2 linked regions of the Arabidopsis thaliana genome follow. The protein of the gene in region 1 purifies or fractionates together with the protein of each later gene. This does not show direct contact. Each region holds a gene or a part of one and is shown on either strand. Other genes may lie near its edges. The genes, in order: GSH1 and AT2G43090.

Evidence for each region.
Region 2: the proteins of GSH1 (region 1) and AT2G43090 fractionate together in Arabidopsis thaliana (co-fractionation; one large-scale study listed by BioGRID). This does not show direct contact.

What each region holds. Positions count from the first base shown.
Region 1 is NC_003075.7:12,096,965-12,111,555, forward strand, and holds GSH1 (glutamate-cysteine ligase), read right to left. Parts: upstream 10,732-14,591; 5' UTR 10,161-10,731; intron 9,802-10,160; 5' UTR 9,788-9,801; coding exon 9,462-9,787; intron 9,292-9,461; coding exon 9,141-9,291; intron 8,972-9,140; coding exon 8,864-8,971; intron 8,787-8,863; coding exon 8,694-8,786; intron 8,515-8,693; coding exon 8,431-8,514; intron 8,312-8,430; coding exon 8,243-8,311; intron 8,153-8,242; coding exon 8,082-8,152; intron 7,998-8,081; coding exon 7,929-7,997; intron 7,675-7,928; coding exon 7,581-7,674; intron 7,455-7,580; coding exon 7,365-7,454; intron 7,274-7,364; coding exon 7,193-7,273; intron 7,099-7,192; coding exon 7,006-7,098; intron 6,920-7,005; coding exon 6,839-6,919; coding exon of another isoform or gene 6,815-6,838; exon of another isoform or gene 6,741-6,814; coding exon 6,671-6,740; intron 6,583-6,670; coding exon 6,494-6,582; 3' UTR 6,397-6,493; exon of another isoform or gene 6,135-6,396; intron 5,344-6,134; 3' UTR 5,171-5,343; downstream 1-5,170. Other genes in the region: AT4G23080 (transmembrane protein, putative (DUF239)), read left to right, coding at 511-666, 772-825, 900-1,022, 1,472-1,840; AT4G23090 (uncharacterized protein), read right to left, coding at 3,427-3,543, 3,639-3,806, 3,888-4,010, 4,106-4,152, 4,228-4,286, 4,407-4,519; AT4G23110 (insulin-like growth factor binding protein), read left to right, coding at 13,980-14,426.
Region 2 is NC_003071.7:17,912,465-17,923,179, reverse strand, and holds AT2G43090 (Aconitase/3-isopropylmalate dehydratase protein), read right to left. Parts: upstream 4,255-10,715; 5' UTR 4,224-4,254; coding exon 3,468-4,223; 3' UTR 3,456-3,467; intron 2,999-3,455; 3' UTR 2,684-2,998; downstream 1-2,683. Other genes in the region: AT2G43110 (U3 containing 90S pre-ribosomal complex subunit), read right to left, coding at 266-338, 439-634, 801-1,113; IPMI2 (isopropylmalate isomerase 2), read right to left, coding at 1,725-2,495; AT-P4H-1 (P4H), read right to left, coding at 4,581-4,688, 4,779-4,871, 4,960-5,049, 5,298-5,349, 5,443-5,513, 5,606-5,680, 5,913-5,987, 6,257-6,322 and 4 more; SPPL3 (SIGNAL PEPTIDE PEPTIDASE-LIKE 3), read left to right, coding at 8,227-8,553, 8,687-8,845, 8,975-9,086, 9,177-9,296, 9,418-9,590, 9,788-9,967, 10,069-10,103, 10,189-10,345 and 2 more. UniProt on the Arabidopsis thaliana protein: Catalyzes the isomerization between 2-isopropylmalate and 3-isopropylmalate, via the formation of 2-isopropylmaleate. Plays an essential role in leucine biosynthesis.

The sequences.
Region 1 (14,591 bases):
ACTATATATTAAATAATTTTTATAGCCTCGAGTTTTTTTTTTGAAATCATATTTAAATATATTATCTCATTAATATTATTAATAATTGTATGAAATTCTTAATATATATATTATGTAAGAAAATTTGGTGAAATATGACTCTACTATTGTTTTTAAAATAAAACTTGCATTTATTCTTAGTAAAGTTTATTTCTAATATTTTTACTCCATCAAAAACGTGTTGTGTTGTTTTCTAGACATAGTAATTGTTTTTTTTTTAAATTGTAATTAGTTCTACAAATATATTGGTTATAAAGAAAAAGCTTTTTTTTGACATAAAAGTTTTAAAAGTTTATAAAATTAGCCAAACCTCTCTATAAATTATGAACTGATGATACATTAATATATTTATAAATTTTATTTTGTTGTCTCGATATTATTAATTTATAGAGATTTATTACATATAATAAAATGTCACAATAATGAGATTAGTGGGCTACTAATGTTAGTTTTCTCAACCATTGTATTCAGTTTGCTGTGTTGCGGACTCTTAAAGAAAAAACAAGGCGTTACAATGGAGCGTATATGAATACTAATGCATTCAATCCTTTGGTTGGACCTACGCAGTTCAGCTCTACTCGGATGCATTTTCAAATTGGAAATGAATTCATCCAAGTTGGTTGGACTGTAAGTCAATTAATTAGATCCGCTATTTTTTTATATACTCGATGTATTATGGTGTATCATTTTCTTTGATTAATATATCTGAATCATATTTTCTATTCATTTTAGGTACACCCGGCATTATACCACGACTTTAACTCTCGGCTATTCGTATATACAAATGTGAGCGGGATAGATCTTGTTTTACGTTTTTATACCATATGATTTATTGTCACATGTTATATGGTTTTATTTAGGCAGGAGGACGTGCGTGTTATAATACCTTATGTCCGGATGGATTCGGAATGATACTAGTAGGTCAAGATCTTATTCCTGGACGACTTACCGAGCACAGAGATTTAAACTTTGCCATAATCAAGGTAAGTTCCTTTCCAACTATTATAGACATAACTCTTCATGTTTTAGGTATTCAAGAACGTTTGAGTATGGAACAAGTAGTAATATGTAGATGCATGGAGATGAAATATCGATATGGGTACTGAAAATTAGTGTTAGGATTTTTTTTCATATTAGATTTTAAAAATATTTTTGATTTTTTCTTTAAATTTCTCTTAGTTTGTATAAAGATAGTTCAAAAATTGAATTCAATAAAGATTTTTGTCAATTATAGTTTTAAAAATGAGATCAGGTATTGGTATTCCCAAGTTGTTTTTGCTGATATTTAAAATTTGAGTATCCAAACATTGATAAGAATTGTTAGAAACAGTAATTGCATGTTTTAATTATGTGAATCGGTAAACGTAGGCATGCCAAGCTTTTGTCTATAATTTTAGTCTTTTTTATTTAATGTGGATTTTGTTGAGTACAGGACAAAGACAACGGAAATTGGTGGTTGTTGATGGGTACTGGCATATTATGGGAAAAAATTGGTGTCTGGCCAGCAAAGAGGTTCAAAGAAAGTTTTGGTACAGAGATCGAATGGGGTGGTGAAGTCCATAGCCCTTCGTCCCCAAGTCCTCCGATGGGTAATAGCCATTATCCGAAGGGGACCCCCAGACTAGACTCATATGTCCGTTTGATCACGACTTGGGACGAAAATTATAATGCCGACAATTTTGTGAAAAACACAGAGAGATATTCAGACGGTTGTTATAAAGTGGGAGATACAATATATATGCAAGATTCTTGGAGAAATGTAGGACATCTTATTGTTTATGGAGGCCCCAAGTGTAATTAAACTTCCATAGTGCTTACCATTATTATAAAATTGTAATGTCTGAACATGATCAGAAGAAAGCAAGAGAATAAATTTCTTAGTATGAAAAAAAAATAATAGAAAAAGAAATTTAAGAGAAATTTAAAGAACATCCTCATATATTTTTATTTAACTTGTTTGACTTGGTTAGAAAGAGGAAGAAAGAAGAACTCTTTATATGTTCCAAGTTTAGAAAATATTGTATTTCTTATATCATCATCTTTAGGAAATTCCACTACACATTACCTAATTTTTTTATCTTACAAAAATCTAAACTTTTTTTTATTTAGATATAACACTGTTAAGTACTTTAGAATTTTTTTAGAACTTAGACTTAATTTTGTTTCTGGTTGAGCTTATAGTCCAAAGTCAAGTTTCATTTCACTACCCCATTATTTGAGGTCATATCTTACACGAATATGCTCAATAGTCTACATGCACTTTAGCATGTGTGTGGTTGTAATAATGCTCATTTAATGGGATCGATTTGTAAGAAAACTAACTAATAAAACCAATGAAATATTAAGTTTTGTGTTCGATGAAATTGTGTGATTTTGATATTGTCTGAGTAATATAAGTTTATGTGATTTTGTTGTCACTAGTGATGTTAAACTAGGCCTTAAGCATGCGGGTCCAAACATGTAATTATGAAACTTCAAACCAACAGTAACACTTGGTTGTAAAAACGTTTTTTTTTTTGTTTTAATTGAATAAAATTTCATATTCATTTAGAAAGAAATAACTTATCACGTTGAAGAGGAAGTGTCTTCTTGGTAAGTTGGGTGGGCTGTGAACTTCGGTTTCACAAATGACAATTTGCCAAGCGAAGATCATAAGCCCTTAGACATAAAAGAGCACTGCCAGCAAATAATAAGTGACGTAATGTTAATGATTGAAAGTTCTATTTGATCAAAAAACAGGGAGCGGCCATCTATTTATTTTTACTTGGTTTAGCATTGTAAAGATCATTTTTAAAGAATTTGATATTATTTTTGATTAAAAATCTTATACCATTGGGTTTGAAATATTAACAAGACTACAAGAGTCTAACACATCCCATTATAAATCAATCTTTTTCTTCTTCTTCCAGGTATTGTACACTATAGAGAACTTGTTCTGTAATCAATATTCTGAAAATCTCTTATGTAGCATATATAGTTTCTTTCGCTTCCGTAAGTTCCTATTGTTAATTTGGTATGGATACTATATCCTATATTTTAGATTTTAATTCTCGCTGCAAATGCTCAATGAAATGCAGGTTGATGTTAAACTGCTCCAAGAATCCAATCAAAAAGGTATTGTAATCTAGTAGCTAGCAAAAGCATTAAACGTAACTTTCCCAAGTTGTTGATGACAAAGATTCCCAAGTCATCAACCGTATTAGTTTCCCATACCACATCTCATCTCAACATCAAGGTAATATTATTATTTTTATTGATTTATTAGTCAAATATGAGAAAGCAAACAACTATGTTTTATATCATTCTGTAAGTAATAATAAGTTGTTGCTTCCTATTACTTATTCTGTTTTTGCAGCCATCTCTAGGTTAAATTTTATAGAGTATCTATTATCCAGCAGGTGCTTGTGCTAATGCTACTCCATTAACTCGTACCCGTTCTCTCGGTGCACCTGGTGCATCCGGTTGAAATATTGACCCCGGTCCGCAAACAAAAAAAACATCCACCTACAATGTGTTTCAAGAAGTATTGAGAGTTTTTGGTATCAATAAATCTAAAAGAATCTATTGAGATATATAATGGTAAAAAGAGTCAACAACACCTCAACATCTCCGAAAGCAAAAAGTTGATATGCAATAGCAACACTTGGTGAAACACCTGAAAGGGAGACGTGAAGTATTCCGTTGGGACGACTAGAATGTACAGCAACACCTACATCAGTGAGCATCGGTTGGAACCATCCACTCAAGTAAAGTATTCTCCCAATACCCTATATATAGCCAAGCAGAATCAGAGAAACAATTGGAAACTAAAAAAGCTTCTATTGAATGATTAAGACTAAAACACTTACCATGCGGTTTCCTCGGATTGGTAACGACACCAAGTTGGCTCGTGAAACGCATCCCCTCCCTGACAAGATGTAGACTGCCTGACGAGAAGCCCTAGAAATATATGCCAGTACACTGACAATTTCCTGTTGGTCGAGGTTCAAAACATCTCTTTTAGAAAACTCAAGAGGAGAAGAAGTTGTATGGAAACAGAACTAATGGAGGAAAATAAACTACTTACGGCTCCATGCGGGATCACTAGGATTCTGCGTGCGGTGGGTGGTGACACTACAAAGAGGTGAAAATGACATTTTCAAGATCCCTCAAAGAAACCCTAATTTTGAAGATTGGAAATATACTTACGAGGAGGCGGCATATTACCCAATTGAATCACCTGCTCTCCTTGGCCATTACCATTTTCTCTGTGATGATTGAAGAAAAAGAGATCATTATATATATTGTTTAGATTCAAGACTCCAAGATTGATAAATACAAGAAAATATAAATTGTAAATAAGAAAGAAGAAGAAGAAGAAAACAGACGTTGTTGGCTGATCCACTGTAATCGAAGAGTTCTCGCTCATGTTTTTCCAAATCGTTAACTTAAGCGGAAAGAAAGAAATTGAAGTATGGAGGAATGTTGCCTCAATCGGCATTTATAAGTAAATCAATCAAAAGTAGAAACAGTGAGAAGGGGAAATATATTTAGGCTAGTGAAGAAACTAATTAAAGAGTTGCTTTCTAATTTTCTACACAATAAATATTTTGCACGGATGCAAATTTGACTATCCTTTGTTTGACTGTTTTCATAGTATATCTGAGAAAATGTTCAACCTAATAAATATTTAGAAGTCAAATAAGTTTTTATCCAATTCTATTAATAGGAAAACGGATGACAACCTCCTGGATCATTTCTTAGTATTTGTCATCACTCTTCCCCTGAATCATTGATCAACCTGACAACCTCTATACCAATTCAAAAGATTGTCTCCCATTTGAACTAATATTTTCATATACATGAAAAATCCTATTACTGTAGCCAAGGCACTTTTGAAGCTAATGATCAGGTAGGAGAAGTGATTTCAACCCACTGTTGTAATACATGATTGCATAATCAAAACCAATCTATGGAATCCACATTTGAAATATTTTGGCCCGTTTTAAAATATTTTTTTGGTAACGTTTTTTAACGGATTTTTGATTTCTGCAAATTTTGGCGCGCTTTCCACTTTCAAACTGAATTTTTGAAAGAATCTAAATGGCATGCGATCATAATTAACACTTTTTAAGATGTAAGATCCTTCATATTTCATAACCATAATTAATTTGATAGACAATAAATGATTGCATAATGTTCCACTGTTGTGATAGATGATTGCATAATCAAAACCAATCTATGGGACAAAGCCACATTTGAATTATTTTACAGATCTATACGACATATTCGAACTTAAAAAAAAAACAATAAAAACAAACAAAACTCAGTCGTTTTTAAAGCCAGTCGCTAGTTATAGTCGCAGCGACACTTAAACGAACCGGCCCGAAGTCTCTCATAAAAATTGCGATTGCGTTTACATGTTTACCTAATATATTAAATTCCAATTTAAATGAAAGAAATCAATTTTAATCAATTTCCTTTTTAGCAAATTGTTTTGATTTTTTATTTTTTTTTGGTTGCCATAGACGACATTTGTTAGGTTGTTTCAAATATTGGACTTAAATTTTAAAATTGAAAACAAGCAAGGTTATGTGAAAAAGCAATTGGTTTACAGTTTAAGGTTTAGGAAAAATAAGACTAGAAGCAGATTAAAAACATTTGATCTCAAAAACTAGAAACGTGCCAAATTAAAGTATCAACGAAATACATGGAGATTTTAAAAATTATGATCTCTTATGTAGATTACAGTTTTAACGGACATAAAAACGTTGACGTAACATACATGAATGAAAGGTGGGTATATTAATTAGGTAAGGCAGTGTGTGGACTGTGGAGACTCGGTTTTTCTCACTCTCATCAGTCATCACTCATCATTTTGTAGGGACGCCTTGGTAGGGTTTACATATTATCCTGTCACCTAAGTGCCACTATCTTCTTGTTTTACGATAATTACCGACGGCCAGGATCATCGTGTTGTAATCAGTTTAGTTTACGCGGAGTCTGGTGGATTCAATTATGAAAGCAGTGTTCTTCACTAGCCAAAACCTATTAAAGGAAAAGCTCGTAAATGTCTACATCGAAGATGCTCTCCCATTTAGAAAAAAACATACATTGCCAAATTACTAAACATCAAAACTTTCCACTACACAGCCTAGATTATCCCATCCGTCGCCTTTGCCTTGAAATCAGTTTTGAGTTATTTCGTTAAATGTAGACAAATTTGTGACAAGAAAAATGGGTAATTTATTCAAGATCCAAACACACCCTCCCAAACGATTTCCCACACCGAAATCGTTTAGTACATACAATTTTTCTTCTGCTTTTCAATGCTTCGAATTTCTAAAACAAAATCAGTTTTTAAAATCCGATTACAACAAAAAAAAAAATCCTTATTCCGGAGACTCGAATTCTTCAGATAGCATAAACTCACACCCAAAGGTTTATAGACACCTTTTGTTCACGTCCCATTTTCTTAGTACAGCAGCTCTTCGAACACGGGATCTACGCTTTGTCCCCATTCTCCATTGTACATCTCCAAGAGCTTCTCCGCAGGCGTAACTCCTGTCATTTCAAAACCAAATTTCACCACCAGGTTATCAAACAAAATGTCGGTGTGGAATTCAATTATGCATTAGGAAACTTCATTTACCTGTTCTGACCACTTCATCGACTGCGTTCAAGAAACCGGCTTCCTTGTAGCCTCTGCGCTCTAAACCATCCTGAGAAACAAAGAGAAAATAAGTCCAATAGTTAGAAGCTGGACCAGACGGGATAGAAAGCTGGCTCGAAGTTTCTAAGAGGGTTCATACAAACACACCTTTGCGAGTTTCAGGACATCTTCAGCGACATGCTTTAACAAACCATCCCTAAAAGGAGTCTTTAAGCCAGTAACTGGGACCTGTTGGAAATCAAGTATTAGTTTATTACAAGATGTTTTCTAACTGTGGAATAAGAAAATGTAAATGTGGTGCGTCTTGTTATTACTTTGTTCCTTAGCATCTCTCTCTCTGCTGGAGTCCAGTCAGCTGTCAGATCCAGGATAGCTTGGAGACTATCATCATCATATAATAAACCCACCTGAAATTTGTAGATAAAATCAAAACAACAGTCAATACTTTTTGAAACATTCTCATTAAGCACGAAATATATATGTGCTAATAGATGTAGTTACCCAGAAAGCTGGCAGGGCACACAGCCTCCTCCAGGGACCTCCATCAGCACCTCTCATCTCCAAGTATCTCTTCAACCGAACCTAGTGTTATGGAACGTTGTCAGACTTCAACATAAGACAGGGAAATGAAAGTCATAGGCTGATTGAAAGACTCTTGAGGCAGATGATTAACCTCTGGGAATATTGTTGTCAGATGGTTTTCCCAATCATTATATGAAGGCAGTTCACCAGGGAGACAGGGAAGTTTTCCAGCCAAGAATTGCTGCAGCATGAAGAATATTATGAGATTAGATATAATTCAAGAAGATCCCATGGTTTTCAATTTGCCAATTCCTTGCAATGAAACAGTTATAGAACCTAACAGAAAAGATTAAGGATAGATTTTGACCCGAAATGTCATTCCAGTACAGTCGATGTATTTGTTCTTTCTGTAGGCAAAGTACATAGGGACATCGAGTGCGTAGTCAACATACTGCTCAAACCTATACCAGATAAGAACAAAAGAGAGCAATAAAATTAAGATTAGCCATGCTGTTTCAAGAGAAGGATAAAGATCCAAAGCATCTTTCTATCTTGAACACAAACATATGTAAGAAAATCCACAGAATAGCACATATCAATTTTCCAATAACTCATCAAGAATGCGAGACAGAGTCATTGGTTTTTGAGAAGCTTCTCATACCAAACCAACCAATGTAATGTAATTGTTTTTCATAGATTAAACATCGATACTCACCCAAAAGAGTCATCGAAAACAAATGGTAGCATTCCTGTGCGGTCCTTGTCAGTGTCTGTCCATATGTGGCTGTCAAAACATACCAGAGTTATAAGGTGGGAGGGAAACTAATTCAAAAAGATATCGGGGATCATAACAACTGAATCTAGATACCTTCTCATGCTGAGAAATCCGTTTGGCTTTCCTTCTGTAAAAGGGGAATTCGCAAATAGAGCCGTTGCTATCTGTTGAATTTAGATAATAGTGAGGCAATGGTTAGTCAAAATCGTTAATAAAAGTTTCTGGTTATGCCACAAAGAGATCGAGCTTCTCACAGGTTGTAAAGCAAGACCAGCACGAAACTTCCTGATCATATCAGCTTCTGAGCTAAAATCCAGATTAACCTGTCAAGATTGCAAGTAATGCAGTTTCTATAAGTTTCAAAATAAGATTATTGATGAGAACTGGAAAGTTTAGTTTAAGGAAATTATGAAAAGGCGCAAAGTCAGAATATTAATCTAACCTGAACAGTACACGTTCGGAGCATCATATCAAGACCAAGGGTACCAACTTTCGGCATGTAGTTTCTCATAATGTCGTATCTCCCCTGCACAGAACACATTACACTATGTCAAATCTTACTGCCTGACTCGTCATAGGAAAACTTAACACAAACACCAAGAAATAATCCGAACGTTGGCTATGTAGAATCAGATAATATTATCTGAATTAGAAACAAACAGATGTTAACTTTCTTCAATCTTAAGAATAGAGAAAGCGTCATACCTTTGGCATGATGGGTATATCCTCCCGACGCCATTTGGGCTGGAAGCCAATTCCTAAGAAACCAATTCCCATTTCCTCAGCAACTGCTTTTACCTGTGACATCCGTAGATAGTTGGTTATTTGTCACGTTTTAGGGTGAGAGCATTGGCAATAATTATCTTTGAAATTACCTGATAAAGATGTGAATTGACTTCAGCACAAGTTTGATGCAAAGTCTCAAGAGGTGCACCACTAAGCTCGAACTGACCCCCAGGTTCAAGTGAAATGCTTTGCTTTCCCTGGTCAACAAAAGGACAGAACGAGTTATCTACAGCAAAAAAAAAAAAAAGACTGAAACCTTATAATATACCGATCATTGTGTTGTATATGAAGCTAACATGTTCTACAGGCTGAAAATGTATATAAATAATAAACGGCTCAAAAGATGAAACACAGGAGAATGTTAACCTGCTTCAGACCAATGATCTTGTCACCTTCCATTACTTTTTCCCATTCAAATCTTTCAGCGATACCATTAAGAAGCTCGGCTATTTGATCATACTTCATAGGGCGCAAAGTATTGACCTCAAAACCAAATTTCTCATGTTCTGTACCTATTCTGAAAACTCACAATGTTAAGTTAGCAAAACAGAATATTTCTCCAATAGACAAACAATCTGGATGAATTCAAACAATACCAACACCGTAAAAGAGCACAAACAAAGAAATATGTCACAATTACAAACACTAAGTAGCATTTTAACAGAACATATAAGCATCAAACTGTACCTATATTTGTCCTTTGTTTTGCATCCAGAGGCAAGATAGGCAATGAGATCCTCTCTCGTCAACGGCTCAGTTGCAACTACAGCCTCTTCCGTTGGAGGACTTGCCGCAACAATCAATTGATGCCCTCTCTTACTCCTCTTAACAGAATGGAGAAGCATTGATTTGGTAGATAGACTCCTAGAGTAGGAGCTACCAAAAGCTTCTTTCATCCTCAAAACATCCAAATTCCTCACGCCACCCGAAACAACAGCTTTAGTTCCAGCCTTTGAACAAACTCCAGAAGGAACAACAGTGTATGATCCTCCTGCTTGAGACAAGAGCGCCATGGTATATATAGCTCCTGCAATTATAACAATTCATCATAAGCTATGAGAAATCACAAATAACTGCATTTTTCTCAATTCTAATAACATATATCACATAATTAGAATCAGCAGCTACCACAGAATTGAACTATCATCTGGAAGAACAAATCAAAATTCGTGTATCACCAAACCAGAAACAACAACAACAACAAAAATCAAATCAAAGCAAAAATCTGCAAAAATTCGACTCTAACAAAACCAAAATCATGCAACAGCCAAAAAAAAATCATGAGAAAAAGCGAAGATTCAACCAAAAAAAAAAAAGCAGAACAAATCAATCAAAAACCAAAATCCACAAGTCCAGAAAGCGAAGAAGAAGAGAAGCAAATCACACCTGAAATTCGTCAAGCTTGACGGAGATTGAGAGACACCGTCGAAATCAAGAAGAAAGCTTAAAGAGCAAAAACGAATCGGCGTTTCAAATTTATATGCGACTGAGAGAGAAATGAGAAACTGATAAAAAAATGAAAGAAAGTTGATCAGTGGAGCATGAGCCGATCAGTGGAGCTGAGCTGTCTATAAAAGAAAGTTGATAAAATTAATAATCATTGTAATAAAAGATTCTTTCGTTTTTTGCCTCTTACTTTTCCATTTCTCACAAATTTAACCCTAATAGTTTTTTAAATAACCAGTTTATTAGTAGTTTAAACAAAGGTTAACTTTATAGTGTGTATAATGAATTAATGATATTTCTATTCTTTATAGTATACTTTAAACGAGGTTTAACTTTACGATATTTAATTTAGAACGTAAAATAATGAAAAGTGTGTCACTAACCAACCACATGACCTCAGATAAAATACTCTATAGGAAAAGAAATATATATACTACTATAAAAAACAGTATCATTATCTATTTGGTTTGATTGTGTCGACAAAAAAATCTTGGTTCTGATGAACGAAAATTGGCGTTATGTTTTTATATTTCCTACTTCTTAGTAGGTGGAATCAAATCCTGCTTTTATAATCAACAATTTAATGATACAAAAACATGTGAATGGTAGATAATGAATCACCATCAAAAGTTCTACTTGTGTATAATAATATATATAGATACGGGATGGATTTGACAATATCCCAATTATAACAATGGAAGGCTATTTGTCTATATTGTTCATGGAATAGTATGGTACCATGGTGGTCATTTACCTTATTTTTAGAAATAACTGTATTTTTAGTAGTAAACACAATTATGGCTATATATCACCTAATTTCTCTATCTGAGTTTGATTTTGTATTCGTGACAAAATCATAGTAAAACAAGTTTAGAAATTTTGTTTACTATTTGGTAATCTACAAAATCCTTCAAATTCCATGGTATTTTTCACATACTTTCGAGAATTTGGTTTTCTCAAAATGAGAAAAACTAATTATTGTGTTAAGTTTTTTTTTTTTTTTTTTTTTGAATGTTATAACACATTTGAGTTTTGTTATAATTTAAAATCTTAAAATTCGAGCTTCGTTCTAATTTCATTATATCGCACAGATTGACTCTATCTTTTTTTTTTTTTTTAATTGACTCTATTCAAATTTTACTACAAGATCCATTATTGTGTTACATATCGATACTCCTATGAATTATGAAGCTGTGCTAAAAAAACATGTGGCATTAGTAATTTATTTATTTGATATCAATTATGGCTGCCATTGAAAAACAAATAGATGCAGAATTGCTTGCGTTTGCATATACGTAACGTAAGTAAAAACTAAAAACTCTTGTAGCGACAAAAATAGAAAAACAAAAAAAACTCTTGTAATTGTGCACTTCTATGTTGTATGTTTAAATTAATATCAAATATATTTTATCGAACACATGAATGAATAAGTTATAAGAAGGTAAGGTAGGTGGACACGTGCGTGACTCAAAAATGGCGGCCATGACTTCTAATCTCCACACCACCAAAGCCTTAAACGGAACCCACCTCCACAGTTTCTTCCTATACATTCGTCACTCACAAGTCACACCGTTTCAACTTTCACGAAAACTTATCTAAAAAATAATAATTAACATTTGACATAATGGAAAATCACATTAATATATAGCCGTCAAAGAGTGAAGTCAGAAATCCTAAAACGATACGGAATTAAGCTGGAGTGTGCTATGCAGACTCTTTCAGTTAATCTTTTCCTTTATATTCCAACCTTAACGTTTTCTAATATCCACGAGAAACCCTAAACTTTCGATTTCACATTAAAGACCCCAATCCTCAGCACAAAGTAACTAAATGCATCAGACATAGTAGCTAGCTATTTGCGCTTATAATGATTTGAAGTTACCAAAAGATTTTCTTCCTAGGGATTAAGAGAAAAGTAACATCTGGGATTGTCATGGCAAGCCCAACTCATAAGTCTCACCGAAGCCCAACTACACATATTCTTAATATGGCCGAAGAGGTAGATGATACACAATCTTGAAAAGTTGTTCTAAGTGGCTGTTGGTGTTGGATTCTCACATTTGAACTCGGCCTATTCAAGGCCCATAAAGAAAGCTTATATAGGTAACATCGAGCTACAACATTCCGGAGCTTCATGACTCTCACCAGGCCCAAGTCACATCAGTTTAGCTCGTGATGGCCCTATACAGTTTGAGCAAGTCAAAATAAAACGGGCATATCTAACAAATTAAAAAGGAAACGTTAAATTGGTAGACATCGAGATGGGGACGTTATGATTTGCATGGATTGACTAAGGAGGTCGTATAGACCAGGGTCACTTCTTTCTAGAAAACAAGCTAGAAAATAGATCAAGAGCCTTTTTTAATTCCAATCTTTTATCTTTGTAAATCAGTTCGATTTTCATACTAATCGACTGATATTAACCTCGATTCTTTCTCATGATTTAAAACCACCATAATGGATATTGACATCGACAGTGACGTAACTCAGTGTGTACCGATAAAAAGATTGTACTACAAGAGTGAGGGCCGGGGCATATTCAACAGCCGAAAGAATGAAAATCAATCAAAACTTTAAGAGATTATGTGTCATATACTCATATTATGTGAAATCCATCTCAAGACAGTTCATCGTTCATTTGTTCTAACTTCTAAGACATATTTTAAAAGCTTTATTGGTTTTGTCTTATAATTTAGATTTAAAATTATTCTCTTATTGTTGAGTTTCTAGTTTTTCTTTTTATGCTTCTATGACTAGAAATACTTTACTTATAAGTTAAAATATATATTTTTAAAATATAATTCGAATTCATTGAACTAAGACAATTGTTAAACTTGTTCGTTTAGGTTAAATGGTTAAAGAGATATTTGTCTGATCATAGAAGAATAAAAGGGAAACAATGACTATATAAGGAGTTTAAAAAAAAAATGTAATTTGAAGATAAAAACGAAAAAAATAAATAAATTAATGTCTTGAAATGTATTTTATATAATAAGATAAAAAAATTCATTTGATCTCCATAATCCTTATTTAGATAAAAACAATAATGAAAAAATCATTTTTATTAAAAAATACCAAATTAAAAAACAATCATATAAAGAAAAATCTTATTTTCTTTGTTTAAAAAATCTAATACCATATACATTTACTGCCAAAATCTTTTCCTAACAAAGTGTTTACAAAATTATTATATTCAAATGTTTGGTAGCTAATGTTTATAATTCTAAAGTATAAAAAGGTAAGATATCTGACTACAAAATCTTTTCCTAATTAAGTATTGTAGACGGATTTTTTACCCTTTTTTACTTTTGACTTAATAAATAATTATGAAGAATTTTTTTTTTCAATTAGATAATTAAATTAGTTAATAATTTGTAAGAATTGAATCTTTGAACTCTATCATACAAAGTTAAACTATTAAAAATAAATTTTACAAAAATTATTGTATCGCACCAAATTTTAAATAGAAAAAATTAGTTTAGAGACTTCTGATTCGGTCCAACAAACGGTACGATTTAAAATTACAACATTAATCTAATATCTTTCTTTTTCGTATTTTAGGAGCGAAACAAAGACAAAAATTTAAAGCTGTTACCATCCAATTTGAGGGTTGTAAAAGCAAGGAGAAAAATCTATATATCTAGAGTCCTCCAAAGACACTTATAAGTTCTCACACACAATCTTTTATCTTTCATTGTTTCTCTCACTCTCTCTTGTTGTGAATTCTTTCCTTTGATCTTTCAGGTTTGCAAGTTCCAAATGGGGAAAAAATCTAAGCCGTTTATATTATCATCAGATGCACCTAAGCCCCCTCATAGGCAGCCTTACAAAGCTCTTCTGATAAGCGCTCAGTCATCTAAAGTGAATTCAACAGATGGTGAAGCAACTGGTTCGCAAATGAAGCCGCGGAAACAAAGAAAAGCCCCTTACAAAGCTCTTCTCATTAGAGCTCGATCACCAGGACTAAGTGAGGAAAGCTCTTCGGAGAGTGACTTTTCCTATGAAGCGGATTGTGAAGCATCCGATTCATCATCAGCGGAGAGTGAAGCAACCAATATGAAGCCGATGAAGAACAAAACTGCGAGAAAAGCTCCAGAAGCGAGGCTAGCAGACAAAGAGCAAAACAAGAGGAGAAGGATCTCAGAGAAGAACAATAATCCTGAAGAAACCATGTCCTGGGAACCAGAAGTTAAAAAGACTCTTTGAAAGAAGATTTCGACAGAAGAAGCATAAAGCAAGGCTAAGGAGAAACCATGATCTCATGTTCTAAAATTGTAGTTCGATCTTATCTTTTATTTTCTTAATTCTGATTTTTAATTTTGTGTTCTATCATAAACATTATCATCTTGCTGAGAATTTTAATCCAATATT
Region 2 (10,715 bases), on another chromosome or scaffold:
CCTAATGTTATATACATAATGGGATCAGACTGACGTGCAAATACATTTCATCCGCACAGCAATTAGCCTTAGAGATATCGTATTTTTGTCATCATATCCCAAGTTCCAGAGAAGCAAGAACAATGCATTCCACACAAGAGAACCAAAACAAGATTCAATAACGAAATAACTCAAAATGCCAGTTTCAATTTGTTCTCTCTTTTCTATGTGCTTAGAATTAAGTTCAGTTCTCTATAGACAAATCATTATAAGAATAAAACACTACCTGTTCCTCAACCTTCAAATGCTTTGAGAACAACTTCACTGCTGGACATTGCTTAGTCAATGAATGCAAACCCCTACATACATAAGACAGGACTCAGTCTAAGCAACTTTCTATTCAATCAAGCATTATATCAATCAATAACAAAGATACAAGTACACATATTTACAATGTACCTTAGAAGTTCCAAAGATCTCAGAGCAGAGGAACTAATAACAAGAACAGATGGGTTTCCCGGTTCAACTTTCCTTTCAAGTGACTCTCCTTCACAAAGAGTCTCTCTCCATGAAGACCCACAAGAAAGCTTTATATGTTCTCCCAAGTTGCTTACATCTTGATCCAACCCTTGAGATAACTCAACTATACACGTATCTGCAATTAAACCAGACAAATCTTAACTTCATCAGAACTTGGGAAATCTGTGCATTGATAAGTCGAATGAACAATCAAAGCTCGTATTTTTTTATATCTAAACCCAATAAGATATACTTAAACAGAAGTACATAAATACCAAGCTAGAATAAAACAAAGGACGAACCTTTAATGGGTTCAAGCTCTAAAGAAGAAACCTTGATACCAATGGCGGAGTCAAGATGATTCAAAAAGTAGTTGAGCTGCTCAGAGGCCGATACCGGTTCCGAATACAGTTGCTCGTCTTCGTCGTTGTCGGTTTTCTGGTCGTTACTTCTACTCTTCTCAATGGTCTTATCAAAGGTGGGAGCTTTCGACTTCTTAGTCTTCTTAGTAATCTTAGTCTTCTTCTTCTTCAAATCTTTCTTCGGACCATGTGATGGTCTTCGATTTCTTTTAGGGTTTTTAACGGCGGAGGGTTTTAGCTCTGTAGTTGCCATGTTTTTCAGAGTATACAAACAATGGAGAAGAAGAGCGGCGTTATAAAGTAGGAGTCGCAAATTTAGGTTTAGCGATGTCCTTTCTTTTACCGCTTAACGGTTATTTTATATCGGTTTGTTTAAACCGCCAAATTTTCAATAACCAAACCAAATTGGTTAGTAGAGTAAGTAAAATATGCCATGTACTACAATGAGAAAAGTTACCAACGGAATTATTACTTTTTTGCTAAAGGGTTTTCGTTGTAAATTTTCTGGGTTTACATGGTACTTACTTAACGGGCCAAACCCTACAGAAATGGGCCAACAATAAACTAAAACAAACTAAATTTACAAACAAAAGAAGACTAAGCCCAAAAAGGGAAATTGATGCCCAACTTGGAAGAAAATAAGGTTGCAACAACAATATTCGCATAATTTAGTAAACACTCACCATATTCACATATCTTGGAACATGTCGGTCTATTTTGCTTTTGATTTCTTATTCTTTAGGTAACAACAACAATACCAAATCAAACAAACATAAAAAAGTTAAGAAAATAGAAAACTCTAAAACACAAATATTCATCAAATAGTTATGCATACAAGAACACCATCATGGTTATGGAAGAGGATTAAGCTAATGATGGAATCATTCCCATCATCCTCGCATAAGCAAAAATACCACCAGCATCAATAACCGGTCCAGCATCACCGATCGACTTCAGCTTATAGTTTTTACCGGTCGTGTGATTAGTCAATAAACCACCACTATCACTCAGCTCGATCGTCACCGTATCTCCTGTCTTACACTCCTCACAGACTCTAACCTCTGACTCGAGCGGAAACACCTCTCCTGTAGCAACCGAGTTACGGAAAAAGATTCTTGCGTAAGACTCAGCAACTATGGCTTTAGCTCCAGCTGCTCCAAGACAGACCGGAGCATGTTCACGTGACGATCCGCAACCAAAGTTTTCGCCGCCGATTATGATTGAGTACTTTGATCTGTTCTCTCCTGGCTCAATGAACCGTGTTTTGTGGAAGTCTGGTAGACCAGAGAGAGCGTGAGCGGCGATCTCATCACGCTCTTGCTGGTTCGATGGGAAGGTGCAAGCGGCTCCTGCTGGGATGATCTGGTCGGTGTCTATGTTGTCTTTCAAGACATAGCAGAGGCCGTGGAAGGTTGTGTTGGCTAGGGCTTCGTTAGAGTCGGATTCTGAGGCGGCAGCACGTGGGATGATGGTCGGGGAGGATGTGCCACGTGAAGTGATGGAGATAGAGGAGGGGATTAAGGAAGTGGAACCATTGAATCTTAAGAAAGGAGATCGGAAGGTAGCCAAGGAGGAAGAAGTTTTGGTTGACGAGCAAGGTAAGGCTTGGGGAAATGTAGGAAGAGAATACGCCATTGTTTCTTTACTTTGTTGAGTGAGTGAGAGAGTTCACGATGAAAACAATTTAAAAGGAGAAATGTTTGTACCCTCCTATTTACGAAAGTGCCATTCAGAATTCCAAACGTGCGTTTTGATATACTTAGGTAGGTCACAGTGAAACAAAGACTCTAGATACGGATGCCTAAAAAGAAGTGTTAATATTTCTCTATACTATATGACAAAAGTGTGTTCGATCATTGTGTGAGAAAAACAGAGCTCCTGTTCTGTTCTCATGACCAGAAGATTATATTAGTGGAAGACATGAGAGAAAACGTCGTTTCAAATGGGATGGGAAACTATGCATTTTTTTAGCAGCTGATACATCCAAATGTAAACAAGAAACTGATACTGAAGACTAAAGCCGATAGTCATATATATTCATAAAACATAGATTAGGTTCATAAGCTTTTGGAAACATTACATATTCTTATTATTGGATCAAGATCCTTGAAGTGACTCTCATGCACTTCCATTGACACCTGCAAAACAAATAGAACAAAAAAAGGAAAAAAAAAAAGGAGTCTTAGAGACAAAATAAGAGTGAAGTATTGTTCTACTATCGGACACTCAAGTCTTAATGGATATGAGCATGGAAAAGATCAGCCAACATCATAACTTTTACCCTCCCAACAACTACAATCAAGAGATGTACAATCTAGAAATTGAACCAATGGAAAGATAAAGTAAGTCTTAAGCGAAGAGAAAGAATAACAAGTCATTATCAATCTCACACAAAAACTAAACCAACACATTTTAAACAACACAAAACTAGAATCCCAACTACTGTGTTCTCTTTCTCTAACTAGAACCATTGAAAACTATGTTTTGCATCGTTCAATTCAATGTCAAGCTTCCTAGACTATTCCACAAATTCGATCTCAATCCTAACCTATTACCAATCCTCATCATCATCATCATCAAGTTACAGAATCATACCTGAAGTCAAAATCAAGCAGCAGCAGATGGAATCATTCCAGCTTTCCTAGCATAAGCAAATATACCACCAGCATCAATCACTGGTCCAGCATCACCAATCGGCTTAAGCTTGTACTCTTTCCCAGTCGTATGATTGATCAAAATACTATCTCCTTCCCTCAACTCAACAGTCGCAACATCACCAGTTGTACACTCATCACAAACCCTAACTTCAGAATCCAAAGGATAAACCTCACCAGTAGCAACAGAGTTCCTGAAAAAGATTCTAGCATAAGACTGAGCCACCACTGCTTTAGCTCCCGCTGCTCCTAAACAAACCGGAGCATGTTCACGTGACGATCCACATCCAAAGTTTTCACCGCCAATGATGATTGAGTACTTCGTCTTCATCTCACCTGGCTGAACGAATCGTTCCTTGTAAGAAGCTGGAAGACCAACTAAAGCGTAAGAACCGAGTTTCTCGTATTCCTCTGGATTCGAAGGGACGAGAGTGAGAAACTCCGCGGGAATGATTTGGTCAGTGTCGATGTTGTCGCCGACGACATAGCACAGTCCATGGAAGGTTTTTCTTTCTTGTGGCTCGGCGGCGGAGCGAGTGACGAACGATGAGGATGCTTCTCGAGAAACTAGGGGTTTGAAATTGGAAGCGACGGATGTTGAATTGAATCTGAGAAATGGAGATCGGAAGGTGGCGAAGGAGGAAGGTTTGTTCGGAGAAGCTAGGGTTCGTGACAATGTAGGGTTTGCTGATTGCAGAGAAGCCGCCATTGTTTGTTTCTCTTTGCTGTGGTCAAGATTGAAGCAAGTCAACCAAAATGCGATTATAAATAGAGACTTTGTTCTTATTTACCAAAATGCCACTCTCCTTCGTTATTTCGGTGAAATGATAGTTAATTCTTTTGTAACAGTAATTGTTTTCTGTGTCAGTTATATGCTAACAGTAATTTAGAATTTGTTGGAGAGGTTAAAATGTAAAACACATTCATATTGATTTACGTATGTAAATGATAAATTCTAAAATTGAAGGGTCAAAAAGAGAGTAAATCAAAACTCTGAGATACTATGACATTTTTCAATATAAGTCCCTGTGGTTTCTTTTTGTTTTAAAAAGTTTTAAGTAGTTCTTCAAGAAGTAGCTTTTTGCCTCATCCATTTAGTAGCAGACCACTTTTCTCCAGACAGAACTTCACATCCTCCATGTATGCTCCTAGGATCTGACTGTCCGTCGAGTCCCTGAATAACACAAGAAGTAATTGAACTCAAAGCAGTCCAATTGATTCATGTTTGTGTAGAGACATAGAGAGAGAGATTGAAGAAACAAACCATGCTCCAGAAGAGAACTGCGTCTCCTTTGGTGGGTTTAACAGAGATGCCTTTCATGATTTTGCCACCACAGGTGCAATCACCATCACCAGCCTGCATTTCAAGTAGAGAGAGAGAGATATTACACCATTGGTTTATTTTGTTTTCTGAAATTTGCATGAACAGAGAGAAAGTGTTATACCAAAGGGAAATAAGTTTCTCCTCCTTCGACGTCATCAGTTAGATACATAAGCATAGTTGCTACGCGCTGACCACCACGCTTTAGATTGAACTGTGTAGCAACCATAAGAAAAGAAACGAGGAAATATGATGAACACCCACAATAAACGTACTTCCAAACTAAATGTTCTAAGATGATGAAGAAGGAGAAGATGAAGTACAGATCCAACTAAACATTATTGACCAAACCAAAAGTTAAATACTGTAGCCTCTTTTTAGTTTTTTTTTTAATCAGAGCAAAAGCTTTCTTTACCAATCTACTAATGATATATATATATGAAAACAGAACCAAAGACTTACAGTGTCAGCAAAGTAATCGTGATGTGGTTTGTAAAACTGCTGCGGCTCATATCTGCACTGCAGCAGATTTTGATTCATCAAAACAAGAAAAAAGCTTCGTTTACTTTAGATTTAAAAAATAGTAAGGTTGCGGTTGTGCACGCACCTTAGAACTTGAATAAGTTCTCCATTTTCCGCTGGTACTTGAGAAAAGACTGCAATTCGCTTTTCAATTGCCTAATAATAGCAAACGAAAAGGAATATAATTTACAAAATTGTAAAGTTGATCAAAATGGCACGCCTTTAAAAGATATGAGAGAGTGACTTACCTGTATTATTGGATAACTTCTTTCTACATGAGTTAGAAACATTCCGGAGCTTGTCCTCACGTCACTTTTAACTCCCTAAGCAAGAAGAAAGTGATAAGAAAATGGAAGAGTATGGTTAAGACTTTGAAAGCATAACTAGAATATGTCTACTATGGAAGAGAATGAATTAGACTTTGCAGGCAAACCTAGAGCGTTTCTATTTGTGTCCAATGTTTGATTGAAACAACTGAACAATCGAAGGCAGAGAGTGGATGTAATAGAAATTTTACTTCTTCTACAGAACTAAAAGGAAGGTATTGTCCAATACCTTTCCGGTTTTTACATCAACAACAGTGGAAACTTGAAGGCGAGGCCGGGCGATTGCTTTTAGGTATTCACATTCCTGCAAATATACATATCAGGAGAAACAAGAAAACTATTTTAATGGGAAGACAAAAAACAGCCAAAAGCTCTTTTGCTAATTCTTATGATAATACTTAGAACTGAGCCTAAGATTTTGCTTTTCTATCAAATCTTAGCTTATCCTTGCTAGAATAAAGATGATATGAACAAGTTTTTTCTCTACTTAAAGGCCTAACATCAGCAAGAACAGACTATTCTACAATCAGCTAACTCAATGAACTAGAATTTATTAGTGGGGGGTGTATATACCTCCGGACTGAGAAAGTCATGAAGCACAATAATTCGAGGGGACCAACTGACTACTTCAGGCTTGACCTGCACTAAAGAAAATAAACATTAGCTGGAAGCACACAAAACGGACCTAGATTTACAGAAGTAAAACAAAAAACGATACATGTGTGTGTAATTTTCATAGTTTCACAAAGAGATAGTATATTTAAGAAATGTGTCCGTACTACAAACAATTTAATTTTTCTCCTCCATGTACCAATTCTTCAACTGTAGAGGTATATAAATGAAATTTTTAGGCAACCATAGGCCCTAAGAAAAAAAAACAACTGCAAAATGGATACGATATACTTACATTGCCAATCCGTAACAATTCTGCATCTTTGTCATTTGCCCACCGGGAGACATCTGAAAATAAACAAGTCTTGCCATTAATCGATTCGGTATCATAACATGTCCACAAATCAAGCTCTATAAGAAGAGTCTTGTCATAAAGCCGAGATTCAAATAGTTAGAAAGAGACTATTATGTTAACAACCTAAATGCAAGCATAGTTTTGGATAGAAATGATCACACCAACCTCGTAGATAGCGGGTGTTCTGTCCTCGAAGTCCTCTTAGAGACGGAAATCCAGTTCCTGAATAAGAAGGAGAAAGAATTTAGAAATCAAAAGGACACCACAACAACAAAACAAGCAATAGAAAATCCAAAAGGGGATCATCTCTTCATTGTAGTAAGCATAAACTACAATCAAAATCCCTGATCTAGTCCTACGAATTCGTTGACATTGTAGTGCAATGTCCTCTCAATCCCTTGCTCAAGAGCTCAGATACCTATATTTGCAATTCTATCACCAAAGACACATCTACAAGTATAAATGAAGAAAATAAGAAAGAAAGAGGAGTTACCGTACGAATCTTCCAATCTATTAATAAAGGCCAATTGTAACAAGGAACCTGCAGATTCCAGGAACAAAAGAGAAACACAATCTCCATGAGTTTACGAAAGAGCCGTTTCAATTTCTCACAGAGTCAATTTGGCCGAGAGAAAACAAAAAAAAAGATATAAACTTTGAAGACCAAAATTAAAAATCAAATGTAGAGGACTATAAATAGAGAGAAAGTACCGATGACCATTCCGACAGTGACAAATGTCAAGAGACCGAAGACGATCTTCATGGCAGGAGCCATGTCTAGCTGATCTCGATCTCCGATCAAAATAAAATAAAAACTTGGGAGAGAGAGAGAGAGATCAGTAACAGTTGTTGTTGTTGCAGAAGGAAGAAAAAGAGAGGAGCTTGAGAGTTGAGAGAGATTTGGGTGGAGAAAAAACGTCAGAGGAGTTTCTTCTCAGAGATCTTCTCTTCTCTTTAAAAAAACAAAGGCCTTTTTCTTTCTTCTTTCCCTTCCTTTTTGTTTTAATTATTTTTTGAATATCCGTCATGGACTCTTTTTCTCTTTTTACTTTCTTTTTGGAAAAATATTCATCTTGTCAGAGTAAATTAAGGTACTAATTACAAAGGGAACCAAACAGAAAAAAAAAAACAAATTGTTTTGTAATTAGCTCAAAACGAAATTCAAAGGGAAAAGATTTTAAGTACAAACTGTAAATTTCTTGTAATTTTATATAACCAAGAAGGTGTTTCTCTCCTGAATTATTCGTTTTTCTTGATATTTCTATTGTTAAATAAACAGATAAATCGAGTTCATATAAATTAGTTATCTAAATAATTTAGTTTTTCTTGATAGTTATCAAATGAAGAACATTTAAACCGGCCGGTACGATGACATTTAGAATTTACAATCAAACTCCTCTACTTAACTGTTCTATTTGTTTGTTTGACATACTAGACAAGTCAAAATACATCGTGGGGATCTGAATTCTGCTCAAAATACTTTTGAAACCATTATATTTTACATAATGCGACATATATTAATTTATGATTTTTGATTAGTTGAGCAAAAAGAGCTGTCGTATATCATATAGTTTTAATGAATCACTCAAAAATTGGCACAATAGAAACAGTAAAAGAATTATTGAATTTAGAGGATAAAAAAGACTATAATATCGACCGTCCGATATATCCCAGAAAGATTTTAACAGCAACTCTTTGTCTCTTCTTCTTCTTCTTCTTCTTCTTCTCTCCGATTTGCTCAGTCGATTGCGTCATGTCGTCGTTTGATCCGCCGAATCACCGATATTCAGCCTTAGTACTTATTCTTCTCCTGCTTGGTTTTTCGGTAGCGGCGGCCGACGATGTATCGTGGACCGAAGATTCCAGCCTCGAGTCTCCTGGCTGTACCAATAAGTTTCAAATGGTGCATTCAATTTCTTATCTTTACTTCGTATCTAATCACTCTCTGGTTCAGTGGAGTTGATTGATCTAGTTTTCCTTCTCTCTCTCTCTTTGTTAATGAGATTCTATATTTGGTGGAAATGATCTTCATATAGGTAAAGGTCTTAAATTGGGTTGATGGTGTTGAAGGAGACTTCCTTACTGGCTTAACTGCTCAATTTGGAGCTGCCTTGCCTTCTGTTCCTGATCAAGCTCTTAGATTTCCTGCTGCTTTTGTAGATCCTTTGGACTCTTGTTCCCATCTCTCTTCCAGGGTCAGTTTCTCTTTTCTTCTTGCTTTTAGAATGAAGTCAATGGCTTCCACCATGTAATTTGGAAGTGCAAGCTGACTTTTTTTTTTGGCAATGTTCATTGATATCTTGTATTGACATTGTTTGTTCCAGTTAGATGGACATATTGCCTTGTCGATCCGTGGCAATTGTGCTTTCACTGAGAAGGCCAAACATGCTGAGGCAGCTGGTGCTTCTGCTCTCTTAGTCATTAATGACAAAGAAGGTGTTTTTTTCTTTTCAATACGGTTTCGGATTGATGTTTTTCGTGTTTCGTAGCTTTGGATCATATGATTTACTCATGATCTGTTATCAGATCTTGATGAGATGGGATGTATGGAAAAGGACACATCTCTAAATGTGAGCATACCTGTCTTAATGATCTCTAAGTCAAGCGGAGATGCTCTCAACAAGTCTATGGTTGACAATAAGAATGGTGAGCCTTTGTGATTTCGCACTTCAGTTTTTCTCTTGTTGGTCCTGTAGCTCTACAATTTGAACCATCTGGTATTCGTATAAATCTCTTTTAGGCTAAGTCCAGTTTCTTTATGATGCAGTTGAGCTTTTGTTGTATGCTCCAAAGCGTCCTGCCGTGGACCTCACAGCTGGATTGTTATTGCTCATGGCTGTGGGAACTGTTGTCGTTGCATCACTGTGGTCAGAGCTTACAGATCCTGACCAAGCTAATGAATCTTACAGCATACTAGCAAAGGTGTACCAGAGAATTGTGGTTAAGCACTTTTGCATGCTATGGTTTCTACAATTAACTGCCTTTGATATCCTATACACGTAGTTTACATTTCCCAGATACTTTGCGTAGCAGCCTCTTGTTATTCTGTAGACTTGGTGATCAAAACTTCAGTTTATGTAGCTGAATTAACAATGTCTTTTTAAAGAAAAAAAAATAATTTACTGAATTTTTTCCAGGATGTTTCTAGTGCTGGGACCAGAAAAGATGACCCAGAGAAGGAAATCCTTGATATAAGTGTCACTGGTGCTGTATTTTTTATTGTAACAGCCTCCATATTTCTGCTGCTCCTTTTCTACTTCATGTCATCATGGTTTGTATGGGTGCTCACCATATTTTTCTGCATTGGCGGCATGCAGGTAATTTCATTAACATCCGGCGGTTTTGAACCTGTCTAGAATTTAGATTAAATGTATATGTGCTTTTTCCGTCAATTTAACGCAGTGGCTGTTGTTTTCAGGGTATGCACAACATCATTATGGCTGTTATATTGAGGTATTCTGAAATATTCCTGATTATTTCACTTCTCTCTTTTTCTGGTCAACATCTCTTAACAGATATATGTTTGTTCCGCCTGCAGAAAATGCAGACATCTTGCTCGGAAATCTGTGAAGCTCCCTTTGCTTGGAACAATGTCAGTGTTGTCGCTTTTGGTGAATATTGTTTGTTTGGCGTTTGCTGTTTTCTGGTTTATAAAACGTCACACATCGTATTCTTGGGTTGGCCAAGACATTTTGGTAACTCCCATAGCTCTCTTTTTCTTCGTCACTACATGCATCTAGATACCATTTCCTCTCATTATTTCTCTTATCACCGCTTCTGCTATTTTTGTTAATTTAGTTTCATATTCCACTCTTTCCATAAAGGAAGAGGTCATGTTGAGAAGTTTTGGTTCCTTGGGCTGCACTTAGTGAAATATTTATTGTCATCTTGTTGACAGGGCATATGTTTGATGATCACTGCCTTGCAAGTGGTTCGATTACCTAACATCAAGGTATTTTATCTAGTTTGCTGTGTAGTGAATTATGATTGTTCTCTGTTATGCTTATAATGGTCTGTACTCCAGGTTGCGACTGTACTTCTTTGCTGCGCATTTGTCTATGACAT